Linked DNA regions of Macaca fascicularis. The protein of the gene in region 1 interacts with the protein of each later gene in a pairwise test. Links are inferred from orthologs where the notes say so. Each region holds a gene or a part of one and is shown on either strand. Other genes may lie near its edges. The genes, in order: THAP1 and FAM133A.

The links.
Region 2: the proteins of THAP1 (region 1) and FAM133A interact in binary tests that used the Homo sapiens proteins (3 or more experiments, as listed by UniProt). The two-hybrid records come from large-scale screens. The link is inferred for Macaca fascicularis from reciprocal best matches to the Homo sapiens genes THAP1 and FAM133A.

Annotation. Positions count from the first base shown.
Region 1 is NC_088382.1:46,368,836-46,383,667, forward strand, and holds THAP1 (THAP domain-containing protein 1), read right to left. Parts: upstream 13,051-14,832; 5' UTR 12,815-13,050; coding exon 12,744-12,814; intron 12,643-12,743; exon of another isoform or gene 12,464-12,642; coding exon of another isoform or gene 12,414-12,463; intron 8,950-12,413; coding exon 8,754-8,949; intron 7,889-8,753; coding exon 7,517-7,888; 3' UTR 6,226-7,516; downstream 1-6,225. UniProt on the Homo sapiens protein: DNA-binding transcription regulator that regulates endothelial cell proliferation and G1/S cell-cycle progression.
Region 2 is NC_088395.1:100,190,432-100,207,363, reverse strand, and holds the start of FAM133A (protein FAM133A), read right to left. Parts: upstream 9,241-16,932; 5' UTR 8,760-9,240; intron 8,533-8,759; exon of another isoform or gene 8,277-8,532; intron 7,870-8,276; 5' UTR 7,797-7,869; intron 1-7,796. Other genes in the region: NAP1L3 (nucleosome assembly protein 1-like 3), read left to right, coding at 9,241-10,770.

The DNA.
Region 1 (14,832 bases):
TGGACATTTGAATTTTATGATGTGGTAAACCGTGGAAATTAGGTTCTCTCCCCTCTTCAAGGTTGGTTGTTTTTTATTTTTGTCTTGTTTTGGCTTTTATGCTTTTAAGCTGTCTCTGTGGCAAGCATTAGACTGAGGTGTAAACTTAACATATTCTCAGGTCTCTTCTGAACCTGCACCCTTCTCTGACTATGCACAGTGACTTTCTAATTCCCCCTTATATGTGCAATTGTTTTTGATTTAATGCCTGGCTCTCAAAAGGGTAAAAAAAGAAAAACGAAGGGAGTGAGGGGAAGACACCAACCCTTTAACTTCCTTGGAATTTGCTTTAGCTAAAGGGGAAGGGACTTGCAACTGTCTGTGGGGTGGATGTCACAAAGGCTGTTCACCTGTGTTTGCATGTCCTTGATCTAAGCAGCAATCAGTGATCAGACATTAATCCTGATATTTGAATTTTGGATATTGCCCACCTTGGCTTCCACAAGTCAAGTCACATGCAAGCTGCTCCTGTAGCTTGTGCACTACTTGCCATGGGGTTGTGGATGGGAGATGAGTAACTGCTACCAAGTCGAGAGCTGAAATTGACCAAAATTAATCACAGTTTGTAATCCAAGCCTTACCACTAGAAGTTGCAAGCCTTCAATAGACTCCAGAGTTCCAAAATAGTTACATCAAATTTTGCCAGTCCCACTGTAGTGTAGGTAGTGAGACAGATTTCTGGTGCTTCCTACTCTGTCATCTTCCCAGAAGCAGCCCCCTTTACCTTCATGCTTGAAAGATAATATTGCTACATAGAAGATTCTTGATTGAGTTTTCCCTTCAGCACCTTGAATATGCCATCCACTGCCTTTTGGCCTCCATTTTTTTCTGAGAAAGTCAGCTGTTGCCCTTGGAACTAGTCATTTTTCTGTTACTACTTTCAAATTTTTGTCTTTGGTTTTCAGCATTTTTTACTATTATGTCTGGGAGTGGATCTCTTTGCAGTTATTCTGCTTGATGTTTATTGAGCTTCTTGAGTGTGTGCTTTTTTATCAAACTTGAGAAATTTCTAGTCATTTTTTCTTCAAATATTTTTTCTGCTCTCCCTCTGCCCCTCTTCTTCTGGTACTCTCATTAAGCATATTTGGTGTGTTTAATGGAGTCCTGTATTTCTCTGGGGCTTTGTTCATTTTTCTTCATTCTTTTTTTTTCCTGTTTTTCAGATAGCATGATCTCTACCTCAGGTTTACTGATTTTTCTTCTGCCAGCTTGAACTACTGTTGAGCTTCTTTTTTCTTTTTTTTTGTAGAGACTGAGTCTTGCTGTGTCGGCCAGGCTGCAGTGCAGTGGTGTGATCTTGGCTCACTATAACCTCCACCTCCGGGGTTCAAGCAATTATCCTGCCTCAGCCTCCTGAGTAGCTGGGACTACAGGGGCACCACACTGCACCTGGCTAATTTCTTTCGTATTTTAGAAGAGATGGGGTTTCACCACGTCTGGTCTCGAACTCCTGAGCTCAGGCAATCTGCTCACCTCGGCTTCCCAAAGTGCTAAGATTACAGGCATGAGCCACCATGCCTGGCTAATATTTTTTGGGTTTTTTTTTGTAGAGATAGGGTTTTACCATGTTGCCCAGGCTGGTATTAAACTTCTGAGTTAAAGCAATCTGCTCACCTCAGCCTCCCAAAATGCTGGGATTTCAGGCATGTGCTACTGTGCCTGGCCCTGTTTGCTCCTTTATTTCATTACTTGGCTGCACTAATTAAGTTTATATCTTCTTCAGTGTGAAGTCTCTGATTTCATTCCTTAAAAGGTGTAGCCTTAGGTATACAGTCACCAGGGATAACAGTAGTTTCAGCAGGTCTGTCTTTGACTGCTTATTTTGCTGTGTTTGTTGGTTTCACACTCAGCTGTTAAGTCTCCAATTTCCCGTTGATTTCTCTATTGTTTTTGACAATGCCCCAAGGCATGAATGGCTCCACAGTGTGATCCTATTAAATTTGGCCCCTGCTTTTTTTTTTTTTTTTTTTTTTGAGATCAAGTTTTGCTCTTGTTGCCCGGGCTGGAGTGCAATGGCGCGATCTGGGCTCACTGCAACCTCTGCACCCTGGGTACAAGCAATTCTCCTGCCTCAGCCTCCCAAGTAGCTGGCATTACAGGAATGCGCCACCATGCCTGGCTAATTTTGTGTTCTTAGTAGAGACAGGGTTTCTCCATGTTGGTCAGACTGGTCTCGAACTCCAGACCTCAGGTGATCCACCTGCCTTGGCTCCCCAAAGTGCTGGGACTACAGGTGTGAGCCACAGTGCCAGCCTCTGACCCAGGAGGGCCCTTCTTAGCTGTCTCTTCCTTTGGTCCTTTCTGGTAAATTACTAACCTACAATTTAGCTGTTGTTGTGGAGCTACTAACTTCCTCTTGTTTACCACTAAATTCTCCATTGTTTTTGAGAGCATCCTTAGGGTTGAACTTTCCCAGTGTTCCAAATTGTCAGTTTGGAAATAGATTCGGAAATAGCTTCAGAGCTCTCTATTCTTTTTCTTAAGATGACGGAGTCTCGCTTTGTTGCCCAGGCTGGAGTGCAGTGGCACCGTCTCGGCGGGGTTTCACCGTGTTAGCCAGGATGGTCTCGATCTCCTGACCTCATGATCCGCCCGCCTCGGCCTCCGGAAGTGCTGTGATTACAGGCGTGAGCCACCACGCCCAGCCAGAGCTCTCTGTTCTTATAACCTGCATCTCCCTTGGGAAAATCTGAGTCATTGCTCTGGAGCTAGGAGTGAGGAAAGTGGCCTGCTTCTCTGGGAGTTACATGCCTGCTTTATGGGCTCAGTTGAGACTATATCCTCAGTTGAGACTACAACCTCTGGGGTTCTTGGCTTACTTCTCCTGGCATGGAAAATTCATCTTGGAGAAGGTGATCAAGGCCCTCTGTCTTGGCCTGCCATACCTATGGTAGACCCTCCACCTAGAGTGGAAGTTGGTTGTAGGGAGTCCCTGACCTCTTGGCTGGACCCTCCTGGAATTTAGTCTCTGCAACACAAAGCTAGAGGGACATGAAAATACTGGCAACCAGCCCCTCCCTGAAAGATACCATAGCCCTTGATTGGGAGTTAAGGGAGTACGATCTTCTTGACCATATCCAAGAAGATTGAGTGGAGCTTCAGAGTAGAGCTTCTATAGCACCGAGTTGGGATAGGGGGTTTGGTTAGGGAGAAATGGGTTGTAGCCTAAATGCTACAGACTCAATGTCCTTATAGAGATTTAGTAAACTTTCCTTATCATTTCTTCATTTGCTATATTCCCTTAGGACAATTGGCAGAGACTTTAAATGGTTATTTAAAAAAATTTTTTTCTTGCCAATACACTTTGGAAGTCATTTTTCTATTAAATTATTGTTTGTATTCTACGGTTTTACTAAAAACTAAAACAATGAAGTTTATTTGTATCCCTTAGGATATTTTAAAAATAAATTTTTTATAATCTCAAGACATAAAATACTATGAATTTAAAGAGAACAAATAAAAATTCAACAGATTTTTAATTTAAAAAATATTTATCATTCAGAAAAATCTCAGTAGAATAAAGCTATATCCAAGGTTTAAAAAGACATAGAATTATAAGAGAACATTACCTTCAGCAAATTTTTCTATTACTTTTAAGTATAATAGTATTGCTTATTTGCAAAGCACTGTTGTTGCTCTTCAGTATTTTTCTTTCATTTGAGTGACTGTACTTTAAAACACAAGACTATATAAAATCATAATGCCAAGCAACACCATTTACCATCAGCTGGAAAATTTATTCTTTTTCTTTAAATGCTATTCAGGGTGGACTATCTTTTTAAAATTCTGGAACACAAATGGATTTTAAAATACGTTGTTTACTATCAACTTTCTAAAAGCTATAGGTGGTGGATATGTGTACACATGTATTTTTTTTTTTTTTGAGATGGAGTCTCGGCTCTGTCGCCTAGTCTGGAATGCAATGGCATGATCTTGGCTCACTGCAACCTCCACCTCCCAGGTTCAAGTGATTTTCCTGCCTTAGCTTCTTGAGCAGCTGGGACTAAAGGCGCACGCCACCACGCCCGTCTAATTTTTGTATTTTTAGTAGAGACGGAGTTTCACTGTATTGGCCAGGCTGGTCTCAAACTCCTGACCTCAGGTGATCTGCCCACCTCTGCCTGCCAAAGTGCTGGGATTACAGGTGTGAGACACCGCACCTGGCCACACATGTATTTTTTTTTAGCACTAAAAGATGATCAGGGAATATTAATGCAAGCTAAAAAGCCCATATCACGTGAAACTTTCATTTGCCATCACAATTATTATAATTCTAAGAAAGGGATCACATAAATTACAACTGAAAGAAAAAAAATCCCCTCATGTACTTGGATTTCTAAGTACAAAGTTTTGCTATGTTCTCACTGCAACAACAGAATTATTTTTAGTACACATAACTCGTATACAATTAGTAAACATTTAAATTAGTTGTTAAAAACTTAAAACTTCAATTGGAATGTGATAATTCAAGCCAACCAGCAATTCAAGTGACCTTTATATTTGTATTATAAGGCAGTATTAAAAGATTGAGACCGGCTGGGCGTGCTGGCTCACGCTTGGTATTCCCAACACTTTGGGAGGCCAAGGCAGGCAGATCACCTGAGGTCGGGAGTTCAAGACCAGCTTGGCCAGCATGGAGAAACCCCGTCTCTACTAAAAATACAAAATTAGCTGGGCATGGTGGTGCATGCCTGTAATCCCAGCTACTCGGGAGGCTGAGGCAGGAGAATCCCCTGAACCCGGGAGGTAGAGGTTGCAGTGAGCCCAGATTGCACCATTGCACTCCAGCCTGGGCAACAAGAACGAGACTCCTTCTCAAAAAAAAAAAAAAAAAAAAAATTGAGTCCTTGTCCCTGTTTGTGTCAGACTGTTTCACTATGCCTGAACAGAACCTACTTTTCTTGGCAGACCTTCTTTTCTTGGCAATGTTATAAACAATACAATAGTCAATTCAGAAATAAGTACCTGCGCCTCAAACTTCTGTTTAACTACTATGATAGATTATTTAAATGAAAGCAGTTGGCATACATGCTGCTTGCTTAGTTCTCTCCAAATGGGGATTTATGTCTGTTATGAAAAGAAAGTAGCTTGAGGTTAAATAATAATGCTAATATGCTAAGTAATTATGATTTCCATTTTTATAATCTAACCTGGATTCTTCATTCTGGGACACACACATAGGATTTATCTTTTATGTAGAAGAGTACTTAGATTGAAGGTATATACTTTTCTTTTTTTTCTTTTTTTTCTTTTTTTGAGACGGAGTTTTGCTCTTGTTGCCCAGGCTGGAGTGCAATGGCGCCGCCCTCACTCACGGCAACCTCCGCCTCCCAGGTTCAAATGATTCTCCTGCCTCAGCCTCCCAAGTAGCTGGGATTACAGGCATGCGCCACCACTAATTTTGTATTTTTAGTAGAGACAGGGTTTCTCCATGTTGGTCAGGCTGGTCTCGAGCTCCTGACCTCAGGTGATCTGCCCGCCTCGGCCTCCCAAATTGCTGGGATAACAGGCATGAGCCACCGTGCCCAGCCAAAGGTATATACTTTTCAAAGTATTCAGGAATAAATCTAAATATTCCTGAGTACTTCCAGGAATTGCTAGAAAGACAACATATAAAACCAAACTACTTGAATACTTTGTAGCCTCTAAAAACAGTTATGAGTTCCATGAATAATCTGTAAAAGTCTTCTGGTTGATCAGCATTAGTTCTAAATGATGTTATCAGACTATGTAACTTCAAGTAATTTTTTTTTTTTGAGATGGGGTCTCGCTGTATTGCCCAGGCTGGAGTACAGTGGTGCCATCTCAGCTCACTGCAACATCCACCTCCCAGGTTCAAGCAACTCTCCTGCCTCAGCCTCCCAAGTAGCTGGGACTATAGGCGCTCGCCACCATGCCCTGCTAGTTTTTGTATTTTTAGCAGAGATGGGGTTTCACCATATTGGCCAGGCTGGTCTCGAACTCCTGACCTTGTGATCCATCTGCCTCGGCCTCCCAAAGTGCTGGGATTACAGGCGTGAGCCATGGTGCCCAGCCCAACTTCAAGTAATCTTCCAATCATTATTTCTATTTTTGAGATACTGGTTCATAAAACATCAAATATCCATGAATCACAGTGCTATCCACTGGCAGCATGGCAGTGAACTACAATGAAAACCAGTTCTACAAAAGACACTTTGAACACCATTGTTTCACACCTTTAATACTGTCTTAAAGGGTCTATTACTCTTCAACTATCTTAGTGTACTTTGAAATATAAAAGTAATAATTATCATTGGAACAGTTATTCTAAATCTAAATAACTCCTATAGTAATATTTGTTTACTCAGAACATATTTTCATTTCCAATATATGTAAAATTTCTCACAAATATAGAACAGAACTCACAGTTTGAACAGAAACCTCAGTGTTTAAATCTCCACATTCAGTAAAATAAACACTACATAGTAGGTTGTTCTGAATATAAATCACTCATTTAAGTAAATGGGATATAATTTCTAACTTGTGTTAAAAGTGAAGAAATCATTTTTTATGTGAAGCCTTGCCCCAACTCAGTCAAGTGCAAGATTATCATATGATACAAATCAAACTCTACTAACACAGCACATTTGTCAGAGACATTGAAGGCAGATACATAACTACAGCTGGGGAACTGGATGTCCTTCAGCTAGAGGGTAATGAAAGAAAAAAGCATATCATAGATCAGGCCCCAGTTTTAATTACTTCATTGATGACAATGCCTTACTTTATTTATTGAAGAATGTTTCTTCCACTGAAAATACACTTCTAATTTTATAATGCTAGACAGTAGGGGGAAAAATAGGAGCCCATTAAAAAAAAAAATCCACTCTTAGAATCTAAAGTTATTGATATTGATCAGATACGCAATGACTCTTTTCTGCTGTGAAGACAATCAAATCTTTTTTTCTTTTTAAGTACTGACTTGCCAATTTATCTTTGATAACTGATTCAGAAACATAAATGAACCATGTGACTTTACATATGAGAATATGTACATATATATATATATTCTGAGAAGTTATGTCCCATGATCTGACCCATACTTCTGATTTAAAATATAACTAAGTTCTCTCAATAAAACAGTACTAATTTTAAGTTTTAAACTGAAGTCACCCTTTTACCACACTGTTCTCATTCTCTTTACTTTTTATTTTTACATTATTTCTATAAATACTAAAAAAGAAAAAACCCAAATCCCCAGTCTTGAAACCAACTTACATTAGAGGTCTGACGTTAGTTTATAACTTTTAAAATATTTTGTTAAAATGTAAAAAACCTGAAATTACAAACAAAAAAATTTATACTTTTACAGTATATATCGAATTTTTTTAAAAAAATATTCTGAACTGTTTTTATATATGTAATCAAGTGTTATTTTTTTAAATGAAACTCCTTTATAGGCTAGAGAAGGATATGTGGTATTGCCCCATTAGAAATCAATATGCATTTCATTTTTTTATGCTGGTACTTCAACTATTTCAAAGTAGTCATTTGGTAGAATCACATAACCTCTTTCTGATACGTCGTCTTTCTCTTTCTGGAAGTGAACAACCTCCTTTAATTTTTCAAGCTGCCGTTCTTGCCTTCTGCATCGCTGCTGTGCGGTCTTGAGCTTCTTTCTGAGTTTTTCAACTTGCTGTTCTAGCTGATGAATCCTTTTCCGCTGATGCATTGTATCCTCCACAGTATAGTTGTGGTCACAGAAAACTGAGAGATTAACAGGGGTCTGAAGAGGTGGCATTAGTAATCCAATAGCAGCATCAACCTGGGAAACAGGAGGCGGTAAAGGTGGTGGAGGAAGCTGTTCCTGTGGCTCCAGATCTTCTTTCTAAAACAAAAGTACAAAGTATGTTTGAATTTAGTAACTAAAAATAACAGTTTAAAACAATTTGTGGACTGACCAGGGGTAGTGGCTCACGCCTGTAATCCTAGCACTTTGGGAGGAAGAGGTGGGCGGATCACCTGAGGTCAGGAGTTTGAAACCAGCCTGGCCAAACATGGCGAAACCCCGTCTCTACTAAAAATACAAAAATTAGCCGGGTGTGGTGGTGTATGCCTATAATCCCAGCTACTCGGGAGGCTGAGGCAAGAGAATTGTTTGAAACCAGGAGGCGGAGGTTGCAGTGAGCCAAGATCATGTCACTGCACTCCAGCCTGGGTGACAGAGAGACTCTGTCTCCCAAAAATAAATAAATAAATAAATAAATAAATAAATAAATAAATATTCTGTGGAATTTAAGAAATATTAGACTTTTGTGGTGAATCAGTGGTACAGAAACATTCCAAAATGAGAAAACAGTTTCAGTTTGAATAAACTTTTCTACCTGCAATAAAGGGACGGTGCAAGAAAGAGACAAAATGAATAATCAGATCCAATTAAATACTAAGCACTGAGGAGAAAAAAATGCTTTGAAACTAAACTGTCACTGATAAAGAAAACCCAAAACTTATCAATATATAACTGGCAGTACAGAGTGATTTTTAAGTAAGTTACAAGGGCTGGACTAAGTTTCTTAGTGTGAGGATATTTATCTTAAATAAACCGCATTTTGTGTTTTCAGAAGTGTATCACTGTTAACTACACAAAGTTCCAGGCACATTTATTCTCTTTAACTGAGTTTTCCACATTTTAATCAATGAACATATCAGTTTGATAAACAGAAAGCAACCCAATATTTTAAAACGCATATTACCTTGTCATGTGGCTCAGTACAAAGAAATATTGTGGGCACAGCATTCTCTTTCAGTAACTTGTTGTTGCACTCTCTCTTAAAGCAGTCTGGAGTAAAGTGCTCTGAACAAATACTGCTATACTTGGTGGGTTTAAAGTTTTTTCTTCTGACAGCTGCCTCCCATTCTTTACAAAGACTGGGTCGAGTAAGAGGAAACCTAAGAAGAAGGCATAATTCAATTATCTGTGCTGATTTTTTTAAAATAAAGGCACCCAAACTTTCCAACGTAGGAAAGATCTTACATTGGTATTAAAGATGTTACAATGGTATTATCATACTGGATTAAAGATTAGCTCTAGTTATCTATCTCATTTATTAATTAAAAAAAATTTTTTTTGAGACACAGTCTTGCTCTGTTGTTAGGCTGGAGTGCAGTGGCGCAATCTTGGCTCACTGCACCTCCACCTCCTGGGTTCAAGTGATTCTCCTGCCTCAGCCTCCCAAGTAGCTGGGACTACAGGCGCCTGCCACCACATATGCTACCATGCCCAGCTAAGTTTTGTACTTTTAGTAGAGACGGGCTTTCACCATGTTGGCCAGGATGGATTCGATCTCTTGACCTCGTGATCCGCCCACCTTGGCCTCCCACAGTGCTGGAATTACAGGCGTGAGCCACTGCGCTGGGCCCTCATTTATTAATGTTTAACTTTTTATAGTGAGTTCACCAAAAGATTCAAGTAAAATACATACTATAGAATAAATGTGCCCGTGGCTCATGTCTGTAATCCCAGCACTTGGGAGGCCAAGGTCCAAGAGACTGCTTAAGTCCAGGAGGTTGAAGACTAGCTTGGGCAACACGGCAAAACCCTGTCTCTACAAAAAATACAAAAATTAGCTGGGTATAGTGGTATGTGCCCAGGTACTTGGGAGGCTGAGGCTGAGGTGGGAGGATTCCTCGAGCCTGGGAGGTCACGGCTGCAGTGAGCTGAGATGGTTCCACTGCACTCCAGTCTGAGTGACAGAGCCATACCCTGTCTCAAAAAGAAAAAAACTGTATTCTATTTTTACCAGTAATTTTCTGTGTGCTGCACAGGAAGACAAACATTGCACATTTGTATCTATGTACTGGGAAAGAGGGGCTTCTAGTTCTCTTAGCATCAGTCTGGACAAATACGAACAGGGTAAATTTGAATTAAAGGCAGATAATAATGAAAGAAAAGTATTTATTTTCTAATCAACTGGGATGTCCATTAGGCCCAGGTAAACGGGGATAGTGAGAGTTTAAATTTATTGTGGTTTTACTCTTCCAAATTAAGGATTTGGTAAACTGGGGGGATTAGAAAAAAAAACAAAGGAAGGGGGTTTTGAATTTACGTTTCACAGTTTTCTCTTCCATGTACAATATGCTAGAGCCTGACTCTGCTAGTAAGAGATCTTTATGACAGTCCCTTTTCTTTGTACAACATAGCACTCTCTGCTGCCACTATGCAGACGGTGGGATAAGTGGTACTCCTAGAAAATCTCAGCTGGGGCTGGGCGTGGCCTGTAATCACAACTGTAATCCCAGCACTTTGGGAGGCCGAGACGGGCGGATCATGAGGTCAGGAGATCGAGACCATCCTGGCGAACACGGTGAAACCCCGTCTCTACTAAAAAATACAAAAAACTAGCCGGGCGAGGCGGCGGGCGCCTGTAGTCCCAGCTACTCGGGAGGCTGAGGCAGGAGAATGGCGTAAACCCGGGGGGCGGAGCTTGCAGTGAGCTGAGATCCGGCCACTGCACTCTAGCCCGGGCGACAGAGCCAGACTCCGTCTCAAAAAAAAAAAAAAAAAAAAATTAGCTGGGCGTGGTGTTGCGCGCCTGTAGTCCCAGCTACTCAGAAGGCTGAGGCAGGAGAATCGCTTGAACCGGGGAGGCAGAGGTTGCAGTGAGTCGAGATCGTGCCACTGCACTCCAGCCTGGTGACAGAGCAAGACTCCATCTCAAAAGGAGAAGAAGAAAATCTCAGCTGGAAATGGCCTCTATACGTATAAACTAGGGTGGCATTTGCTGGTAAAATTCCGTACCTATGGCCTCCTGGCTCTGTAAGCATAAACTATGGTAGCATTTGCTGCTAAAATTCAGTCAGTACCTAGGGCCTCCTGGCACAAGGACCACAAATTTACAGCTGTTTGTGAGATTCTGTTAAAATCTTTCCCATCTACTCTCCCTAAACCTGCTCTTTTAGATAAGGGATAAGATGCAGGTTAGCTCTTCTTTTGATTCAATCCGTATGTGTTTAACACCTAGCAGAAACAGTTATTTCTCTTTTTTTTTTTTTTTTTGACATGGAGTCTGGCTCTGTTACCCAAGCTGGAGTGCAGGGCAAGATCTCAGCTCACTGCAACCTCCATATCCCAGGTTCAAGCGATTCCCCTACCTCAGCCTCCCAGGTAGCTAGGATTACAGGCGTACGCCTGTATTTTGTATTTTTAGTAGAGACGGGATTTTGCCATGTTGGCCAGGCTGGTCTTGAATCCTGACGTCAGGTGATCTGCCCACCTAGGCCTCCCTAAGTGCTGAGAATTACAGGCATGAGCCACTGTGCCTGGCCAAAAACACAGTTATTTCTGACGTGTGAATACCCTCCTTAAACTTGTTTCCAGTGCCAGTGAAACATTTTCCATAATTTTAGATTCCTTCTGCCATGCCATCAGAAATGTGGGTGGGGAGCTGCACATGTAATCCTGTTACCATCACCTGACCTTTTCCTACATTTCGAAAGAACATGTTTACAGAAATTCCAATTAAATTAAGAGACAATATTAGGATATCCTGAACTGAATCCTGTAAGTGTTCTACCCCCTTCGCCAAGGGGTAACATCATTACTCTGGAGACCTATGTTCTACACTCTCTTATTTCTATAGGTTCCATCTCACATGATATCAAACACTTAAAAAATGCATGGACACTCCCCTAGTAAACATAGATGGCTCCACACCAAAATAAAAAAATTGAAAGGATATTTAACATTTTGCTTTTGTAATTACCTAATTATAAAAGATAATTAGCTAATTACCTATGACTAATTTGTATAGTTTACCCCTGGATCTGATTTCTTAGCTATCATCTGCATATAGTTGTCAGGAATTCTTACAAAGAAAACTTAACATAAATGTAATTAAAATTTGTAAACAAATTCAGCTGAATGTTATGTCACATTTTACAAGCGTTTGATTATCATAATTGCAACTTTGCACTTTTTTTCCTATTTTCAAGAGAATATTTTTGATCCTAGCACTCTTAACTGTGCTACCTATTGGATAAGACAGCTCTGAAAGCTGTGGGGCAGTTTCTTTCGAAAGAGCTTCCTCTATGCACAGGTAATGCCGTAATAAATAAAGATCAGTGTGAGTCATTTTATTATGATCCATGTTGTAACTATCCATATTATCATTATTGTGTGCTGAAAAGATAACGATTTATCTTGGCAGTACCTGAAGCTTTCTTCAAAACTCAGGGTCCTTAAAGCTTAGTTCCTAGAGATTTGGGGCAAAAATTCTCCAGGATTTCCCAGCCAAAAAACCCTTAATTGCTACGATGCTGGCCTCCCATCCACGACAAGGGAAAAAATAGTGATTTCTTCGTTTGAAGGCCTTTGTTTATATTTCAAATTTACCCCTAAGACGTTATTACAACACCTGGCTGCTCGTGACCCTGGTGGCGGCAAAACCCGCGCCACCATAGGCATCGCCCGCGGGCTCCAAACTCGTCAACCGAGGCCTGGAGCGAAGCCTGCAACGAGGACCTGTTCCGAGAGCGCAAGAAACAACCGCCGCGGAGACGCGCGCCGAGAACGCGCGATCGGGCGACGGTTCCCAGCAGGACGCGGCGGGAAACGCCTCGCGCGGCCGGCCCCAGACCCCACCCGCCCCTCGCGCGGACACGCGCCTGGCTCCGCCCCCGGCCCCGCCGGTCGCGCGCCCCCACCCTGGCTAAGACCGGCCCCGCGAGGCGCGCAGGGTCCTCACTTGTGGAAAGAAACGGGCTTGTCCTTGTCGTAGCGGTTCTTGCAGCCGTAGGCGGAGCAGGACTGCACCATCCTTCCGGTCTTCAGGCACTTCACTTCTGCCGCCGCAGAAGGCAGGGGAAGCTGCTTTCAGTGTCGCCGCGCTCGGTTGGACACCCTCGCTCTTTTGTAGCTTTGGCCAACAGTTACAGTGATGGTGGCCTCCCTCGGGGGTGACTAGTGTGCCCGTTTTGTTGTTTGCATTAGCAGAAGGACCACAGCCATCGCCCGTCTCCCATCTCCAAGATGGCGGAGGCAGCTTCAACCTCACCTCTCGCGAGGGGTGCGTCCCACTGTCTCTGATTAGCCCCGAGGTCAGAGGTAACGATTCCTGGGAAGCTAACTATTGGCTGAGGCCAGGTGTTTCCGGCGGTGGCTTCAGAGTTGCGGAAGTGGGCGGAGCCCTGAACTTCCGGTAGGCAGGAAGAAACAGCTTGCGGGGGAGGAGGCGCGGCGGGAGGCTGGATTCCAGGGGCATCCTCCAGCCCGGGCTGTTCCCGTGGGTTAATTGATGCGGAGCTTTTCTGGGGCGGCTTACAGTAGGAAACAACTAGGGCCTCATGGAGAACAGGTGTAAAGCCGAGGTCGTTGTCTGATTGCGCCCATTTCTCTAAAAGGGCGGACACAGATGGTGTATGATTAATAAAATTGTGGAACCTTTTCCCAGAATGCTGATCTTTTTCCCATTACCTGTGTCTTCAGGCATCACAAGTCTCTGAGAGCCAACGTGACAGGTTTTTAGCAATGAAAAAAGACACACTCGCCAAATCATCTGAATTGCCAACGCAGAAGCATTATATATATGTATATATGTATGCATATATACGTGTGTGTGTATATATATATATGTAATTTTTTAAAAAAATAGAGGCAGGATCTCCCCACGTTGCCCAGGCCAGTCTAGAACTCGAGCTGAAGGGATCCACCTATCTCGACCTCCCAGTGGGTTGGGATTACGGGAGTTGAGCCACCAGGCCCTCCCTCCCCAGAAGCTTTTGTGAAGGGCTGTCCATTGCTGTGATTTCCATGTGCGGTGTTGCAAATAGGGAGCTGCTGCAGCAGTTTTCACATCTGAGAGAGAATATGTCAGAGGGGTTCGAAATAGAGCGACTCTGTGTTGAGTGAGGGCTAGGAAAATGAGGCTGGGACTTGCTGGGCTGCATTCCCGGAAAGTTAGGTGTTCCTAGCCTCTAGATGTATACCATTAAGGCAACAGATTGATAATGTTTACTAAACAGACCCAGACTTCGAAGTGTCCAGGTATCTCGATATTTTGAGAACAGAAGCATTCCTAATTTTGCTTTAAAGATAATAATGGACTGGGCACAGTGCCTCACGCCTGTAATCCGAGCACTTTGGAAGGCTGAGGCGGGCAGATCACTTGAGGTCAGGAGTTCAAGACTAGCCTGGCTAACATGGTGAAACCCGTCTCTACTAAAAATACAAAAATTAACCGGGTGTGGTTGGCACATGCCTCGAATCTCAGCTACTCTGGAGGCTGAGGCAGGAGAATCGCTTGAATCTGGGAAGGCGGAGGTTGCAGTGAGCCGTCCTTGCACCACTGCACTCCAGCCTGGGCGACAAGAGTAAGACTCTGTCTCATAAATAAATAAAGATATCGATTCTTACATAATATAGTAATTAATCCTTTATCACAAACCCTTGTAGCACAGCACATGTCCCCATGATCTTTTTTTATTCTATATATAAACTAAGTGTTGTACTTAGGGTGGATGCGTTCCTTCTCTTTCTTTCGGGAACACTCTGTCTGTGGAGTAGCTGTACTTTCACCACTTTACATTCTTAATAAACTTGCTTTTGCTGTGCACTGTGGACTCGCCCTGAATTCTGTCTTGCATGAGATCCAAGAACCTTGCCTTGGGGTCTGGATTGGGACCCCTTTCCTGTAACAGTTTTACTTCATTCCCTGCTCCTTTTCTTTATATAGATCTGAGCCAGGCAAACCTGGAGAGCAAAATGTTGAGTAATCCTTTCGCCCTTATTCTCTACCTTTCCTGCCCCTTTAAATGTTGGTGTTTCCCCAGGGTTCC
Region 2 (16,932 bases), on another chromosome or scaffold:
GCCGAAATCACACTATTGCACTCCAGCATAGGCAACAAGAGCAAAAGTTTGTCTCAAAAAAAAAAAAAAAAAAAATTGGTACTGCTGCAAGGAAGCCAGTTCATTTGTTTAAGAAGTTAATTAGTACAGTACTAAATGTATTCTTGTGCAGAGCAATTCTCTGAGAGAGGACAGAGGATTATAAATAAAAAAATATCTTGGTCCGTCTCCTAGGTAAATTTAAAATATACATAGGAAAAGAACATGTGTGTGTACACGCAACAAATGATGTATGTGGCTCTGTTATAATGTTTATCATAAAGCACACAAAAATGTAATACACCCCAAGCAAATAAGCTCTGAAGGAAAGACAGAGTTAAAGAACTATGTTCCATTGGGTAACTATTCCTGGAGAAGATAAGTTTAGTAAAAACTGTTTGGACATGCACCATGTTATAAGAATTTTACATGTACTATGTCATTTCAAGCTCACCATTGCTCTGTGAGGTGGGCACTATTATTATCCCCATTCTACAGATGAGGAAATTGAGGCATAGAGAGTGAAGAAATTTGCCCACGGTCACTAGAGGGTAAAGGACACAGCTTGTACTTATACACTGGTTTGATTCCAGACAGTGGAGTATCACTAAAAGTTTAGGATTAGAGGAAGGATATAAGTGTTTTCAGAAAGACCTTTCTAAGAACTATGTATAGCATATCTGAGAGGCTAAGGAGCAGTTTGGGGGCTGCTACAAGCAGATTGGTCAACTAGTCTAACATTTACATAATTTTCTTTTCATGTCATATTTAATCTTTCTTACAAAGAAGGCTATAACACATTCTCATGATGTAAATAATGAAACAGTTTTAATTAAGGTATCCAGTTACCTCTAAACAAACAAACAAAAATACTCATTCTTTCAGATAGACAAATGCTGGTTATAAGAGAAGACAGACAAACGTGGTCAATATTATCATTTTAAAATTTTGTTTACACCTGTTTTAAGAGAGTTGCTAAATCAAAGTAATGAATCTAGAGAATGCATGCCTCTATTTCTTCTTTCTCTGAGAAGCAGATTTTTTAACCAAAAGCAACAATTAGTGCATTGACATCTTGTTTGTTTACTCACTTCTTAGAGAATTGTGAAGTGTTAGCTATCATTCCCTTGAAAGTATCAACAGCAGATTTGCTGAAGCATTAGTCTATACTACATACTAAACATATACTTTCATAGAAACATCTACCAGAATGGAGAACTATTTTTTTTCTCAGAGGAGGTACCTAATGAAATTAATTAAATATATTTGGATATTCTGGAAAAAATTCGGCAGAAAATGTCACTTTGGGCTTCTTCTAGTTTGTCCAAATAAATTGCAAAATGGGGAAATAGCCATTGCATAGATAGAGAGATAGATAGATAGATCTAAGATATCATATAAGATATATACATATATATCATATGCACATAAGATATATCTATCTATAGTAAGCATTTTTCATTTTTCAAAGTCTGGATTTTTCCTTCCTTTTTAGTAAAATTAAATAAAATACTTTCAAACTTGCAATAAAAAGGTCTGCTTTACTTGAATTTTAGGATAGAAATTCTTCAGATGAGTACTACAGGCAAAAAAATCTTCATTACCCTTGTAAAAATATTCTTCTGTGATGTGGTTTTACATTTTGAAAAATACATGCTGTTTGTACATTCAAAACTAGCATTAGCAACAAAAGCAAAAATAGACGAAAGGCATCACATCAAACTAAAAATGTTCCTAAAATAAAGGAAGTAAATGAGTAAAGAGGCAACATATGGAATGGCAGAATATATTTGCAAACCAAACATATGATAAGGGGTTAAATATTCAAAATGTATAAGGAACTCATCAAACAACTCAGTAATTTAAAAAAATATAATTTAAAAAATGGGCAAAAGATCTGAAGAGAGGTTTTTCAAAAGGCATACAAATGGCCAATAGGTATATGAAAAAACATTTGACATCACTAATCAGGTAAACGCAAATTGAAACCATAATGAGATATCATCTCACGCCTGTTAGGATAGCTATTATCAAAAAGACAAAAGTTAAGTGTTGGTGAGAATGTGGAGAAAAGCTAACCCTTGTAAACTGTTGCTGGTAAGGTGAATTAGTATAGCCATTATGGAAAACAGTATGGACATTCCTCAAAACTACCTTAAGAATGGAACTACCATATGATCTAGTAATCCCAGTACTGAGTATATATCCAAAGGATATGAAATCAATACATTGAAGAGATATCTGTACTCCCATTTTCATTGCAGCATTATGTACAATAGCCAAGATATGGAATAAACCTAAGTGTCCATCAATTGATAAATGGATAAAGAAAATATTGTATATATACACAATGAAGTATTGATCAGAATTTAAAAAGGGAAATCTTGTCATTTGTGGCAACATACATAAACCTGGAGAACAATATGCTAAGTGAAATAAGCCAGGCACAGAAAGACAAATACCACGTGATCTCACTTACATGTGGAGCATAAAAATGTCACATTCATAGAAACAAAGAGTAAAATGGTGGTTACCAGACGATTGGGAGTTGGGGGTTTGAGGAGCTACTGTTCAAAAGACACAACATGGCCTGGCACAGTGGCTCATGCCTGTAATCCCAGCAATTTGGGAGACCAAGGCGGGTGGATCATGAGATCAGGAGATGGAGACCATCCTGGCTAATATGGTGAAACCTCATCTCTACTTAAAAAAAAAAAAAAAAAGGAAAAGAAAAGAAAAATTAGCCAGGTGTGGTGGTATGCACCTGTAGTCCCAGCTACTCGGGAGGCTGAGGCAGGAGAATCACTTGAACCCGGGAGGTGGAGGTTGCCGCAAGCCGAGATGGCAAACTGCACTCCAGCCTGGGCGACAAAGCGAAAAAAAAAAAAAAAAAAAAAAGACACAACATTTCAGCTAGACAGGAGGGAGGTAAGAGAGATTTTGAGGGTTCTCACCAGAAAAAAATAAGTATTTAAGGTAACATATATGTTAAAATGCTTGATTTAGTCATTCAATAATGTATACATATACCAAAACATCATGTTATATGGCAAAAATATATGTAATTTTTACATGACAATTAAATTTTCTTTAAAAAAATAGCGCTATGTTAAATATCCAAATTGGGAAATAATTTTCCTTACCTTACATTGCATTAATTTTAACTTCCCTTTTAAACGCCATGCAGTTAAGGGTATAGTGCTAGAAATGCAATTCAGAAATGGTTCCTTAAAAAATAAAAATCTATAACAACATACCATTTTCTGTTCATTTGAGTATATCCATATTATAAGAATAAGTATAAAATGAAATATTTTTGTTTGAAAACCACTGCTATCGTTTAAAATGTTATAAAACAGCAAATGTTTTATTTACTACTATTAATAATAGCAACATCATAACAACCAATGTTTTATTATTATTCTTTTTTGAACCATAATTTATTAACAGCTTGAATATACTTTCTACTTAATATTTCCATTTTAGCAAGTAGGTCTCTCTTTATCAGATGTGAGAAAAACAGGGCATTATTTGTGCTCCTGAATAATGCTAACTACCATTCTTGTGGCTGGGCTGTAGACATCTACACACTGGCAACTCCACAAAATAGAAGAACATTTATGTTTTTTTTGTTGTTATTTCTGTTCTAGGTTTTTACTGCTGTTATCTGACCCTCTATCTCACATAGTTGGGAGCAGAAGTGAAAGGTCAAGGATGAAGATCCAGCTCCTGTGACTGTCTCCATTGTAATGAAATTCTGTTATCACACAATTTTGTTCTCATTCTTTCTCAAATGTATCTAACAAATGGATAACTACCGATTGTGTCATTAAAATCAGTACACAAAGGAACAGATTAGAGAGTCCAACACAGACCCACATATACAAGGACAGCTAATTTTTGACAAATGTGCAAAGGCAAGTCAGTGGTGAAAAGACAGTCTATTCAACAAACAGTGCTGGAAAAACTGTATATCTACATCAAAAGAAATAAACCTTCAATCCATACCTTGTACTTTTCGCAAAAATGTATCACACTTAAATGCAAAACCTAAAAGTATAAAACTTAAAAAAAAAAGGAAGAAAATAATTGTGACTTTGGGTTAAGCAAAGATTTCTAAGAGATGACACCCAAAGTATGTTCCATAGAAGAAAAACAAGATAAATTGTACTTCATCAAAATTGCAAACTTCTTATCCCAATTACCTTGATTTGACCATTACACATTGTATTCATGTATTAAAATCACATGTGCCCCAAAATATGATGTATGATGTATCAATATAAAAATTACTAATGTTTCCTCTTTAAAAACAGTAAAAGACACCCTTAAGAGAATTCAAAGAAAATATGCAGTCTGAGAGAAAATATTTGCAGAAGTTATAACTGACAAAGAACTTGCATCCAGAGTATATAAAGAACTCTCAAAGAAATATAAATTAAGATCACAATGAAATACTACTGAATACTTATTAGAATGGCTAACTTTTAAAACACTGCCCATATCAAATGTTAGCACTGTTGGTGGAAATGCAAAACAACCACTTTGGAAAATAGGTAATTTCTTAAAAAGTGAAACATACACCTACCATGTGATCTAGTCATTCCACTCCTATGTATTTTGCTAAAAGAAATTAAAACATATGTCCATACAAAACTTATATACAAATGATCATAGCAGGCTTATTTGTAGTAGCCCAGAACTCAAAACAACAAAAATGCCCATCAACAAATCATAGTATTGCCAAGTAATGAATAATTACTCGGCAGTAAACAGGAAAAGTAAACTCCTGATACACACAACCACATGGGTAAATTTCAAAATAATTCTGCAAAGACAGGCAAAAAGAGGAACATACTACATTATTCCACTTATATAAAATTTTAGAAAATGCAAATTCATCTATAGGAACAGAAAACAGATTAGCTATTGTCTAGGGACAAGAGGAGGGATTCAAAGGCATATGAGGAAACTTTCAGGGATGATACAATTTTCATTATTTTGTCTGTGGTGATACTTTCACAGATAGACACATTTGTTGTGTGCCTATTATACATCAATAAAATGGTTTTTTAAAAAGAATTAACTTGTATATTCAGATAAAACTTGTCCAAGAAGAACAGGAGGAAGAGTCATTCAAAAATAAATGAACTTGCAATGCTTCGCTTCTTAGATACCTACAAAAAAAGATAATGCTGCTACACGTGTCATTATACACTTTGTGTGTTTGTGTGGCAGGAGTGGGTGGTGGAAGGGATTGTGTGTATATTCATATTAAGGGAGGTATCAACAGATGTTAATGTACTATGTTCAGTCTGAGTATACTATCAGATTCTGTGTTATGTATCATCTCATGTAGAAGCATTAACATTTAGCCGCCCTCCCACAAAAAAATCATCTAGTAATTGAACAAAGAACATATCACTATGCAAATAATTTATATATAACCTTATTAAGAAAAATAAGTATATGATATGATAAAACTAATATGTACATTTCACAGTAGAACAAATAGGATATAATGCAGCAATTAAATTGATTATGAAGAAAAAGCTTATTTTATTTTAGATACCTACTACATAAAATTAAATAAACTAATCAACCAAAAAAAAGCTACAAAAATAAAAGTGTGTTACAAGATACTTATGGATACACAATTAAAGTAGAGAATTGTGATTAGAAAAAATCATCTACTTTCAACATTTTCATTGCCTATATCTAGGAAAAAATAATTCCAAATTGAAAATCACAATTGTTGATTAATACATTATTTTTATATGATGTTTTTGTAAGCTTTTTTCTATTTTTCATCTCCATGTTCCATTCCAAACTTTTCCAGGATCAGTGTGAGTGGTTAAGTAGTTATCCGTAATCCTTGAAAAGCATCCAAAAAAACCCCCAAGCATCCCCCCAAAAAAAACCCAACCAATTTTAATATGAAATTTAGTCACATTTGCCCAATATCATGCATTATTTCCTGAAGAAATCATAGTTGTCTTAAGTAAGTCAAGGCCAAAATCATTTTACCTTTAGGATTTCACCATTGATTAACTTCTTGCTTAATTCAGTAGAAAACAAAAAATATGAATAGACAGTTCTCAAATAAACATAAACATATGAAAACACAATCTTACCACTAATCTAAGAAATACAAATACTAATATTGATAAATTAATTTGGAGATGTTGATTACAAATGTAAATGTAAGTAGTGATTACTTCTCAGTTTTATTTTGAGTTACTTTTAATTTCTTCTTTGTATTTCAATGTATTGTCTGACTTTATCAATGAACACATATCATTTTCACAAAATGTAAAGTTATCTTAACACCGACTCATTAGTTGTTTGCAACTAATGGATCAGAAAATAATTTAGAAACAGACCCAAGCAATTTATTTAATGTGATCAAAGTAGCATTTCAAGTAAGCAGGAGATAGAAAGATTACCAAATAAATGGTACTAGAAGAATTAGCTAGCTAATAAAAATAAGTATTTTAAAAATCTGGATCCCTACCTCATGACTCACTCTAAAATACTAATTCCTGATGCTACAAAGTTTAAAACATAAGAGCATACTTTTTGTAAAATCTCCATAATTTAAAAAGAAATAGTGAGTCTCAGAACAATATTTATGGTATAACACCATTGATGTAAATCATTGTTTCTATAACATATGCTTTGATTAAAATTATTCATCGAAAGGATATGCACTTAGTAAGTTTCATTCACCATTATACTACAATTCTCTACCACATTTGCCCAGCATACGACAGGCACAAAAATATATTAGCTGAATGACAAAAAAAATGAACCTTTATGCACTGTTGGAACTGTAAATTGTGATAATCATTCTGCAGAGAGTTTGGCAATATGTATACAATAATAATTCCATAATATGAAATGATCATTCCCAGGCCATTCATTTCTAGGAATTTATCTTATGACCAATTTTCAGAAGTGCATAGAAATATATGCTTTAGGTATCCAGGGACACTTTTATTATAGCAGGAAAATAGTATGTATATAAGGGGAGAGATGGTATAGAAATAGCCACCCTATAAGAGGAATCTGTTCAAATAAATTAAGGCAATTATTTCCATGGAATATGCACTTATTTAAAAATAAGATGTTGATCATTTGCCATGAAAATATAGCCATTAGTAACTGATAAATTAAATGAAAAGACTACAAAACATAATATGGTATCACATAGATAAAGCAGTATACATAAATAGGCAGGTATGTATATGCACAAGGAAATTTCTAGAAGGAAGTGCATCAAAATGCTAGTAATTCTTATCATTTGGTGGTTAAGATTGTGTGTTTTTACTACTGTTGGAATTTTCTGTATTGAGGTTTTATCTTTGCAATGTTCACAGACTTTGACAATTAGAGATATGCAATAAAAGTAAATGCATTTATGAGACAGAAAAGCATTTCATAACTTTTAAAAACGTGACTACATGACAAAGCACAAATTCTATAAAGATTAATCTAACTTTAATACAGTTCCTCATTTGAAATGAATAATTTATCATATTTCATATTTTAATTTACAACTTGTATTCTATGACCAGGTTAAGATAGTTAATGTGGTTAAGTAGGCTATTGTCTACATTAGTATGCCAAATTACCTCTGTGGATTTTCCTGTTTCCATAGAATTATCAAGATTATTATCTAAAATAAATCTCTAAATGACTGCATCCTGTAAACTTTTATTCAGATGGAGATGAGTAATTTTTGTCATTCTTTAAAATGTGCTAAATATGATCCTTACCTTTCAATGAAAAGTAAATACTCGTCTTTTTTATTGTACCAAGGTAGTTGTTCTGTAGCAGAAAAAAAAAATCCTGTAAATAAAAATAACAAATACCCGTTTTTAAACTTCATTTTGCAAAAGTTTATTCACATATTACTGGACTTGTAAATCATACTATAGTATGGCTAGAATTTTACAACATTAGAAGGAAATTGGTGGCAGATGACATCGCATACACTGACAGAAGATGCACATTCATTAGCACAAATTCCCCCTCCCATCCCACTGTTCTTGGAATTGAAACCTGCTGCACAAAAGTATAACGCAAATCATTTGCTTTTTAACAATACTACCTAACATTTAATACACTCTTTGTTTTATCTACAAGGTTGTTGCAAGCATTGAGAAGGGCTACGTGGCAAGTTAGCAGCAAGGTTGGGGTATATAATATGCCAGCCTAAAAAGAGAAATATAATAAAAATGGTGTAACTGACTCACGGCAACATGGGTTCGCAAACCTTGTAGATGGATATAAACCAGGCTTGCCAAACATCACAGACAGCACTTATTAAATCAGCTTCGTGGAATGCAATACGCCTGCTGTCTAGTCCCTCCCCCCTCTGCCAATAACCGACTCTCCCCTTTTTTATCCAGTGTAAAAATACTGCTCATAGAATATTTAGAGAAAATCGTTTTGTTTTTAAATCGTCCACAGTCACACTACCCAATGACGCCATTTGGACCATTTTCATTCAATTTTTTTTTTTTTCTTTTACAGATTTTTGTCAAGAGACCCGTGACAAACTAAACGGGAATTCAGGATGGGCGGATGGGAGAAGGAAGACACGCCTCTTCTGCCCTTGTTAGGAACTATGGCTGGTATTTTTACCTCATGTCTACGCTTTTTTTTCCTCTTTTAATTATAAAACTATAAATATAGACTTTTTGGGGGGCTCGGGGACACCTTCCAGGGGGTCGCACCTCAGCCGGCGAGCAGCGTCTGGGAAGGTGGGCGGAGCCAGGAGTAGTGGCGTTTGGCCGTTCGTTGGGCGTACGGTTTGTCAATTAAGGTGGACCAGCAAATGAGGAGCGAACTAAAGGCACACTGGGAACGAAATTAACGGGAGGTCTGACTGCGAGGGGAGGGGGCTCGCGATCTAAAACGAGAAGAGATCTCGGGGTCTCATACTGCGCCATTCGGCTGCGGTACATCTCGGCACTGTGTAGCTGCAGCCGGGAGAGGCCTTGCCGCCACCGCTGTCGCCCAGGCCTCCACTGCCGCTGCCACCTCAGCGCCGGCCTCTGCATCCCCAGCTCCAGCTCCGCTCTGCGCCGCTGCTGCCATCGCCGCTGCCACCTCCGCAGCCCGGGCCTCCGCCGCCGCCACTCAAGCATCCGTGAGTCATTTTCTGCCCATCTCTGGTCGCGCGGTCTCCGCGGTAGAGTTTTTCAGGCTTGCAAGATGGCAGAAGCAGATTTTAAAATGGTCTCGGAACCCGTCGCCCATGGGGTTGCCGAAGAGGAGATGGCTAGCTCGACTAGTGATTCTGGGGAAGAATCTGACAGCAGTAGCTCTAGCAGCAGCACTAGTGGCAGCAGCAGCGGCAGCAGCAGTAGCGGCAGCAGCAGCAGCAGCAGCGGCAGCGGCAGCAGCAGCAGCAGCGGCAGCACTAGCAGCCGCAGCCGCTTATATAGAAAGAAGAGGGTACCTGAGCCTTCCAGCAGGGCGCGGCGGGCCCCCTTGGGAACAAATTTCGTGGATAGGCTGCCTCAGGCAGTTAGAAATCGTGTGCAAGCGCTTAGAAACATTCAAGAAGAATGTGACAAGGTAGACACCCTGTTCTTAAAAGCAATTCATGATCTTGAAAGAAAATATGCTGAACTCAACAAGCCTCTATATGATAGGCGGTTTCAAATCATCAATGCAGAATACGAGCCTACAGAAGAAGAATGTGAATGGAATTCAGAGGATGAGGAGTTCAGCAGTGATGAGGAGGTGCAGGATAACACCCCTAGTGAAATGCCTCCCTTAGAGGGTGAGGAAGAAGAAACCCCTAAAGAAAACCCAGAGGTGAAAGCTGAAGAGAAGGAAGTTCCTAAAGAAATTCCTGAGGTAAAAGATGAAGAAAAGGAAGTTCCTAAAGAAATCCCTGAGATAAAGGCTGAAGAAAAAGCAGATTCTAAAGCAGACTGTATGGAGGCAACCCCTGAAGTAAAAGAAGATCCTAAAGAAGCCCCCCAGGTAAAGGCAGATGATAAAGAACAGCCTAAAGCAACAGAGGCTAAGGCAAGGGCTGCAGTAAGAGAGGCTCATAAAAGAGTTCCTGAGGAAAGGCTTCAGGACAGTGTAGATCTTAAAAGAGCTAGGAGGGGAAAGCCTAAAAGAGAAGACCCTAAAGGCATTCCTGACTATTGGCTGATTGTTTTAAAGAATGTTGACAAGCTCGGGCCTATGATTCAGAAGTATGATGAGCCCATTCTGAAGTTCTTGTCGGATGTTAGCCTGAAGTTCTCAAAACCTGGCCAGCCTGTAAGTTACACCTTTGAATTTCATTTTCTACCCAATCCATACTTCAGAAATGAGGTGCTGGTGAAGACATATATAATAAAGTCAAAACCAGATCACAATGATCCCTTCTTTTCTTGGGGATGGGAAATTGAAGATTGCAAAGGCTGCAAGATAGACTGGAGAAGAGGAAAAGATGTTACTGTGACAACTACTCAGAGTCGCACAACTGCTACTGGAGAAATTGAAATCCAGCCAAGAGTGGTTCCTAATGCATCATTCTTCAATTTCTTTAGTCCTCCTGAGATTCCTATGATTGGGAAGCTGGAACCACGAGAAGATGCTATCCTGGATGAGGATTTTGAAATTGGGCAGATTTTACATGATAATGTCATCCTGAAATCAATCTATTACTATACTGGAGAAGTCAATGGTACCTACTATCAATTTGGCAAACATTATGGAAACAGGAAATACAGAAAATAAGTCAATCTGAAAGATCTTTCAAGAATCTTAAAATCTCAAGAAGTGAAGCAGATTCATACAGCCTTGAAAAAAGTAAAACCCTGACCTGTAACCTGAACACTCTTATTCCTTATAGTCATGTTTTTGTGGTTTCTTGGTAGTCTGTATTTTAAAAATTGTCCTAAAAAGTGTCTAAGCGCCAGTTTATTCTATCTAGACTGTTGTAGTATAATATTCTTCAAAATATGTAAGCTGTGGTCAATTATCTAAAGCATGTTAGTTTGGTGCTACAGTGTTGATTTTTGTGATGTCCTTTGGTCATGTTTCTGTTAGACTGTAGCTGTGAAACTGTCACAATTGTTAACTGAAACAAATATTTGCTTGAAAAAAAAAAGTTCATGAAGTACCAATGCAAGTGCTTTATTTTTTTCTTTTTTCCAGCCCAGAAGACTAAGCGTTTAAATCTGCTTGCACTAGCTGTGCCTTCATTAGTTTGCTATAGAAATCCAGTACTTATAGTAACTAAAACAGTGTATTTTGAAGTTTGACTGCTTGAAAAAGATTAGCATACATTTAAGAATGTCAAGACCACATTTGATTCAACTGAGACCTTGTGTATGTGACATATAGTGGCCTATAAATTTAATGATAATGATGTTACTGTTTACCACTGAGGTGTTAATATGACATAGTATTTTTTAAAAAGTTTCTTCATCTTATATTGTGTAATTGTAAACTGAAGATACCATGTTTTCTTTGTATTATGTTCTACCTTCCCTTTCACTGAAAATGATCACTTCATTTGATACTGTTTTTCATGTTCTTTTATTGCAACTTAAAATAAATAAATATTAAAGTGTGTTATACTATGAAAATCTAGCCTTTTCTCCTGACTATAAAAGAGGGATGCTTATCATAGAAAAAAGTAGAGGATCACAAGGAAGGGGACAATTTAATAAAAAGATAACTATTATTAACATTCTGATGTATTTCCCACATCTTAGCTTTTCTGTTGGAGGACACTCATTCAAGATTTTGGAGAGCAATGGGACAAGGAGAAGGAACAGGGCATGGAGGGAAAGGAAGGGAAAGGTAGAAGAGGGTGGGGATGGGTAAGGGAGGAGGGAGAAAGGAGGGGTGGAGGAGAAAGAAGAGAGAGGTGAAAAAGGGAAAGGGAGGAAGGTGGGTAAGGGAGGAGGGAAAAAGGAGGGATGGAGAAGAAAGGTGAAAAAGGGAAAGGGAGGAAGGTGGGTAGCAGAAGGAATGGAGGGGGCAAAGGGAACTGGAGAGAAGAGGGGAGGGAGAGCAGGAGTACCTCACTCACAACGCCACTTATATGTAAGACAAGCTATGGAAGGTCACACTACCTTGACTCATTTTTTCTTACAGGTGACACCATGCTTTCATCTCTTCACCATGCAGCTGATCACAGAGAGATCCTAAGATTTTGCTTTGAGATAAGTGTGAGGAGGTTCCCTCACACTTAAACTCAGTTTACCAGGGAGTTTGCACTGGACATAAAGGGAAAAGCACAACATATAATAAAGTGGTGTCTTATTTCACATTTGTCATTTCTGGGTCCACATATGTTTTCCTTGAAAACCTCATAGGAAACTGTAGCCAAAGTAAGACAGGATTTTAGAATTTCTGGCTCTCTAGGCATAAAATGATCTATAATAGTCTTCCATACCACACCATATATAGTTTAGCATCTTTTATTCTGCTTAACAATAGTCACTCCCCAATTTCTATAATGTAAAAATATTAAAACCGATGTCATATTTAACCAACCACGTGTTCAGATAGTTAGGTTTACTTTATGATTTTCCACAACATGAGGAAGCAAATTATTGTTTCTAGCAATACCACAGCGTTTTTTGTTTTGTTTTGTTTTGTTTTTGTTTTGTTTGTTTGTTTTGAGACAGAGTTTCACTCTTATTGCCCAGGGTGGAGTGCAACCTCCGCCTCCTGGGTTCAAGTGATTCTCCTGCCTCAGCCTCCCAAGTAACTGGGATTACAGGCATGTGCCACCACACCCAGCTAATTTTGTATTTTTAGTAGAGACGGAGTACCTCCGCGTTGGTCAGGCTGGTCTTGAACTCCCGACTTCAGGTGATCTGCCCACCTCAGCCTCCCAAAGTACTGGGATTACAGACATGAGCCACTGTGTCTAGCCCACTGCATTTTTTTTTTTTACAGTGCCTATTTTATTTTTGAGATTTTTGCATCCATGAAGAATGGATATGGCAGATTCACTTATATGCCAAAACTAAAATGAAGAATGTAACAAATATAGTGTACCTGGCTCCTGATGCATAGGTACCCAAATTGGATAAAAACTGTACTTGCCAGACATCACAAAGAGCAGAGCCCTTAAAACTTCTGCATAGGATGCAATATACTTTTTGCATCTTAGAACTCTTAGCAAAGTATTTAACACCTTCCCTTTCTGTGTTCTCCATATTAAAGGAACACATGTTATTATAGAATATTTGCAAAATAGAAGCAGAAATGCAGAAGATAAAAATCACTCAGAAGCACACTATACTAAGATACGCTCTTTTGTGGATTAGTGTATTTTTTCCCAGTTTATCTCTTGATAAGGTTTTATTACTGCTCTTTTTAACTTTAAAGTTAGATCTAGGGACGGGGCAGGGTTTCAGAGAGCCAAAGATTTATGCATCAGTAAAATGGGACACCGGAAATGCAATCAGCCAGTAGTAGATGCTTCAGCCACCTCTGCATGTTAAGGAAGATGGGTAGAGCCAGAAAACTCGTGGGCTGGCACACGTATTGGGCTGCATGTTTGCCCATCACACTGGCTCAGACAATGAATGATGTTAGAAGGAGCAGCCCGCTGGGAACTAAGCTAAGGGGAAGAGAAGATAGTGAGAAGTGTTCAATGAGTCATCTTCTGCACCTTCCTTATGGTTTGCTGTTTCTTGTTGCTGTAACTCAAAGCCGAGGCCAGCTGCCCCCAGCCCAAGGAAAAGGTCACCCCCTCCTCCAGACTGCTCCTCCACCCCCTCTTTATCTTCCTTTGCAGTCCAGACCACCTCCTTGTTAATGAGCTCATTTCCCTCCTGAGTTGGGCTCTGAGCATCCACCTAGTCATTCTAAATGTTGGGTCTTTTTTGTTTAATGTGGCAGACTCAGATAACAAGAGACATCTCTAAGCAGCAGCAGCAGAGACTACTGAAAAGGTAATGGAAGGAACCTGAGCTGTGAGCGAAGAAAGTGACAACACGGTCAAAGGATGCAAACGTCACGTTCTGCAGCCTGGAGTGCTCCAAGCCTGGAGGTGCCACACTATCTGGCAATGCCAGTTCATCTGCCGTTAAAAAGCTTCAGGGTGATGTAATAAGATAGAAGCTGATTTTTTTTTTTTTTTATCAGGAATTGCAGGCTCTGGGAAAAGGTATATATCTTCACTTTATGAGGTGTTTGAGCCCACCAACACATGTATGAAGATGTGGGATTACGCCTATAGATTACAAAGTGAATGTCCTGACAGTGATGAGGTTTTGAATAAGGAGAATCTGGATTCTAAGGTAACTGGTAAAGCTGAGAAACAAAAGGAGGGGCAAAGATGGGAAAGGAGAAAAATGATTTAGGAAGAAACTCCTTAAAGAACTGAGCAAGTGCTGACTTTTTGAAGTTATAATTTATATTTTATTTTAACAAAATATTTCAAAATTAAGGTGTTGAAGAAGATAGGAGCTGATGTTAAAATGAGATTTCCTGATCCCTTCCTCTTTGAATATTCAGAAAATGAGGTCTGTAAAGAATGTCACATAGATCACAGGAAAATAAAAAACATCCCTCTAAAAGTAAGGTAATCACATATTAAATCGGACACTCCAACCCAAACTGAAGAAGTTCCCAAAGTCTCTTTATTTCCTTCAGTGCTTTATTTCCTTTAGTGCTTTATTTCCTTTAGTTCTCTTGAAACACAGTGCCTGAAGGTGGAACCCATGAAGAAAATAAGTCAGGTTCATTTGTAACTTTGTGATTGCTGGAATTTAAGTTACATTCTTTTCTAATTCAGCAAAGAGACTTACACTAAACAGAAGAGTCTGTTGGAACCTAGGATGACAGCAAACTGGAAGGCTGACAGATCTTGATCCAACTATTTATAAGACGGAAAAGCTGAGTTTTCGAGATCTGGAAAATACTTTGAACATCTGAACTCAGAAAACAACATGATTTGAAGAAGCAGAGTATATAACCTGCAGTATAATATTTCAATACAATTATGCATTACTTAAAATTTTACATTTTGTGTTTTTTATAGATTATATTTTCAAAATATCAAAAGTGAAATGTTTTAGTATTAAAAGACATAGTATTTAGAAGTATACCTTTCTTTGAGATGAAGAACACAGCAAATTCTCTAGGAAATCTTTATTTATTGCTATGTAGTTTAGTCCTCATGATATATTTTTATCATATAGCTATTAGAGAGCAACAGTAAAAATTATCAGAAATTTTCAGTAAAGCTAATATTTACTTGAGGAAAAATACACTTGAAGAATGAATCCAAGTATATGTTCGCCTCCAGCTCAGAAGTAGGAAGGGTTTAAGTCATCTTGTACCAGGTGTACATGCATTATTTTGCTATACAAATAGACTTATTTATTATGCAATGGTACATTACAAACTACCTCTTGAATAAAGCAACATAGAGCTAAGAATTTTCAGAAACCCATTGACATAAATTCTCCTAGATTATTTATAGTTTTGAATTTTGCATGACACAAATTTATAAAGAAAATAAAATAATACTTAGACTATTGCTTCCCATAGTAGTGTCATTAAAAGTTACTGTTTGCAAGTGATTTTTCATTCATCTTTTACTCTTCAATTATATTTGTCATTTTTAAATTATTATGTTTAATCACCTTAGTTTGAAGATGATTAAGCATATTTTCTTTGCATTGTGCTTCACTAAAAGCTATTATATTGTTTTATTACATCTTCTGATTATAAAATGTGTTCACTATAGAAAATTTGGAAGATATTTTGAAAAGTACAAAATAATTTAAAACTTTACTTGAAATTTGACATTTTATATGAAAACATATCTATGTATATGTCTTTAAACATCACTACTATTTTATACTTTTCGTATTTCATTTCTTAGATTTTGAAGTACTATCTACATCAGTGCATGTAAATCTTCACTCTTTTTAGTTGTATTTGATTTATAATTGATGTGTAATAATTGTACATTTTTTATATTTATATTCTTTCTTTAATTACACTTTAAGTTCTGGGATACATGTGCAGAATGTGCAGGTTTGTTACGTAAGTATACACGTGCCATGGTGGTTTTTTGCACCCATTAACCCATCGTCTACATTAGGAATTTCTCCTAATGCTATCTCTCCCCTAGTCCTCCACCTCTTGACATGTCCTGGTGTGTAATGTTCCCCTCCCTGTGTCCGTGTGTTCTCATCGTTCAACTCCCACTTATGAGTGAGAACATGTGCTGTTTGGTTTTCTGTTCCTGTGTTAGTTTGCTGAGAATGATGGTTTCAAGCTTCATCAGTGTCCCTGCAAAGGATGTGAACTCATCCTTTTTTATGGCTGCATAGTATTCCATGGTGTTTATGTGCCACACTGCTTTATCCACTCTGATGGGCATTTGGGTTGGTTCCAAGTATTTGCTATTGTGAACGGTGCTGCAATAAACATACGTGTGCATGTGTCTTTATAGTAGAATGATTTATAATCCTTTGGGTATATATCCAGTAATGGGATTAATGGTTCAGATCCTTGAGGAATCACCACACTGTCTTCCACAATGGTTGAACTAATTTACACTCCCACCAACAGCCTAAAGTTGTTCCTATTTCTCCACATCCTTTCCAGCATCTGTTTTTTCCTGACATTTTAATGACCGCCATTCTAACTGGCATGAGATGGTATCTCTGGTTTTGATTTGCATTTCTCTAATGACCAATGATGATGCCCTTTTATTTTCATGTTTGTTGGCCACATAAATGTCTTCTTTTGACTAGTGTCTGTTCATATACTTTGCCCACTTTTTGATTTTTTTTTTTTTCCTTGTAAATTTGTTTAAGTTCTTTGTAGATTCTGGATATTAGCCCTTTTTCAGATGGATAGATTGCAAAAATTTTATCCCATTCTGTAGGTTACTTGTTCCTGCTGATGACATTT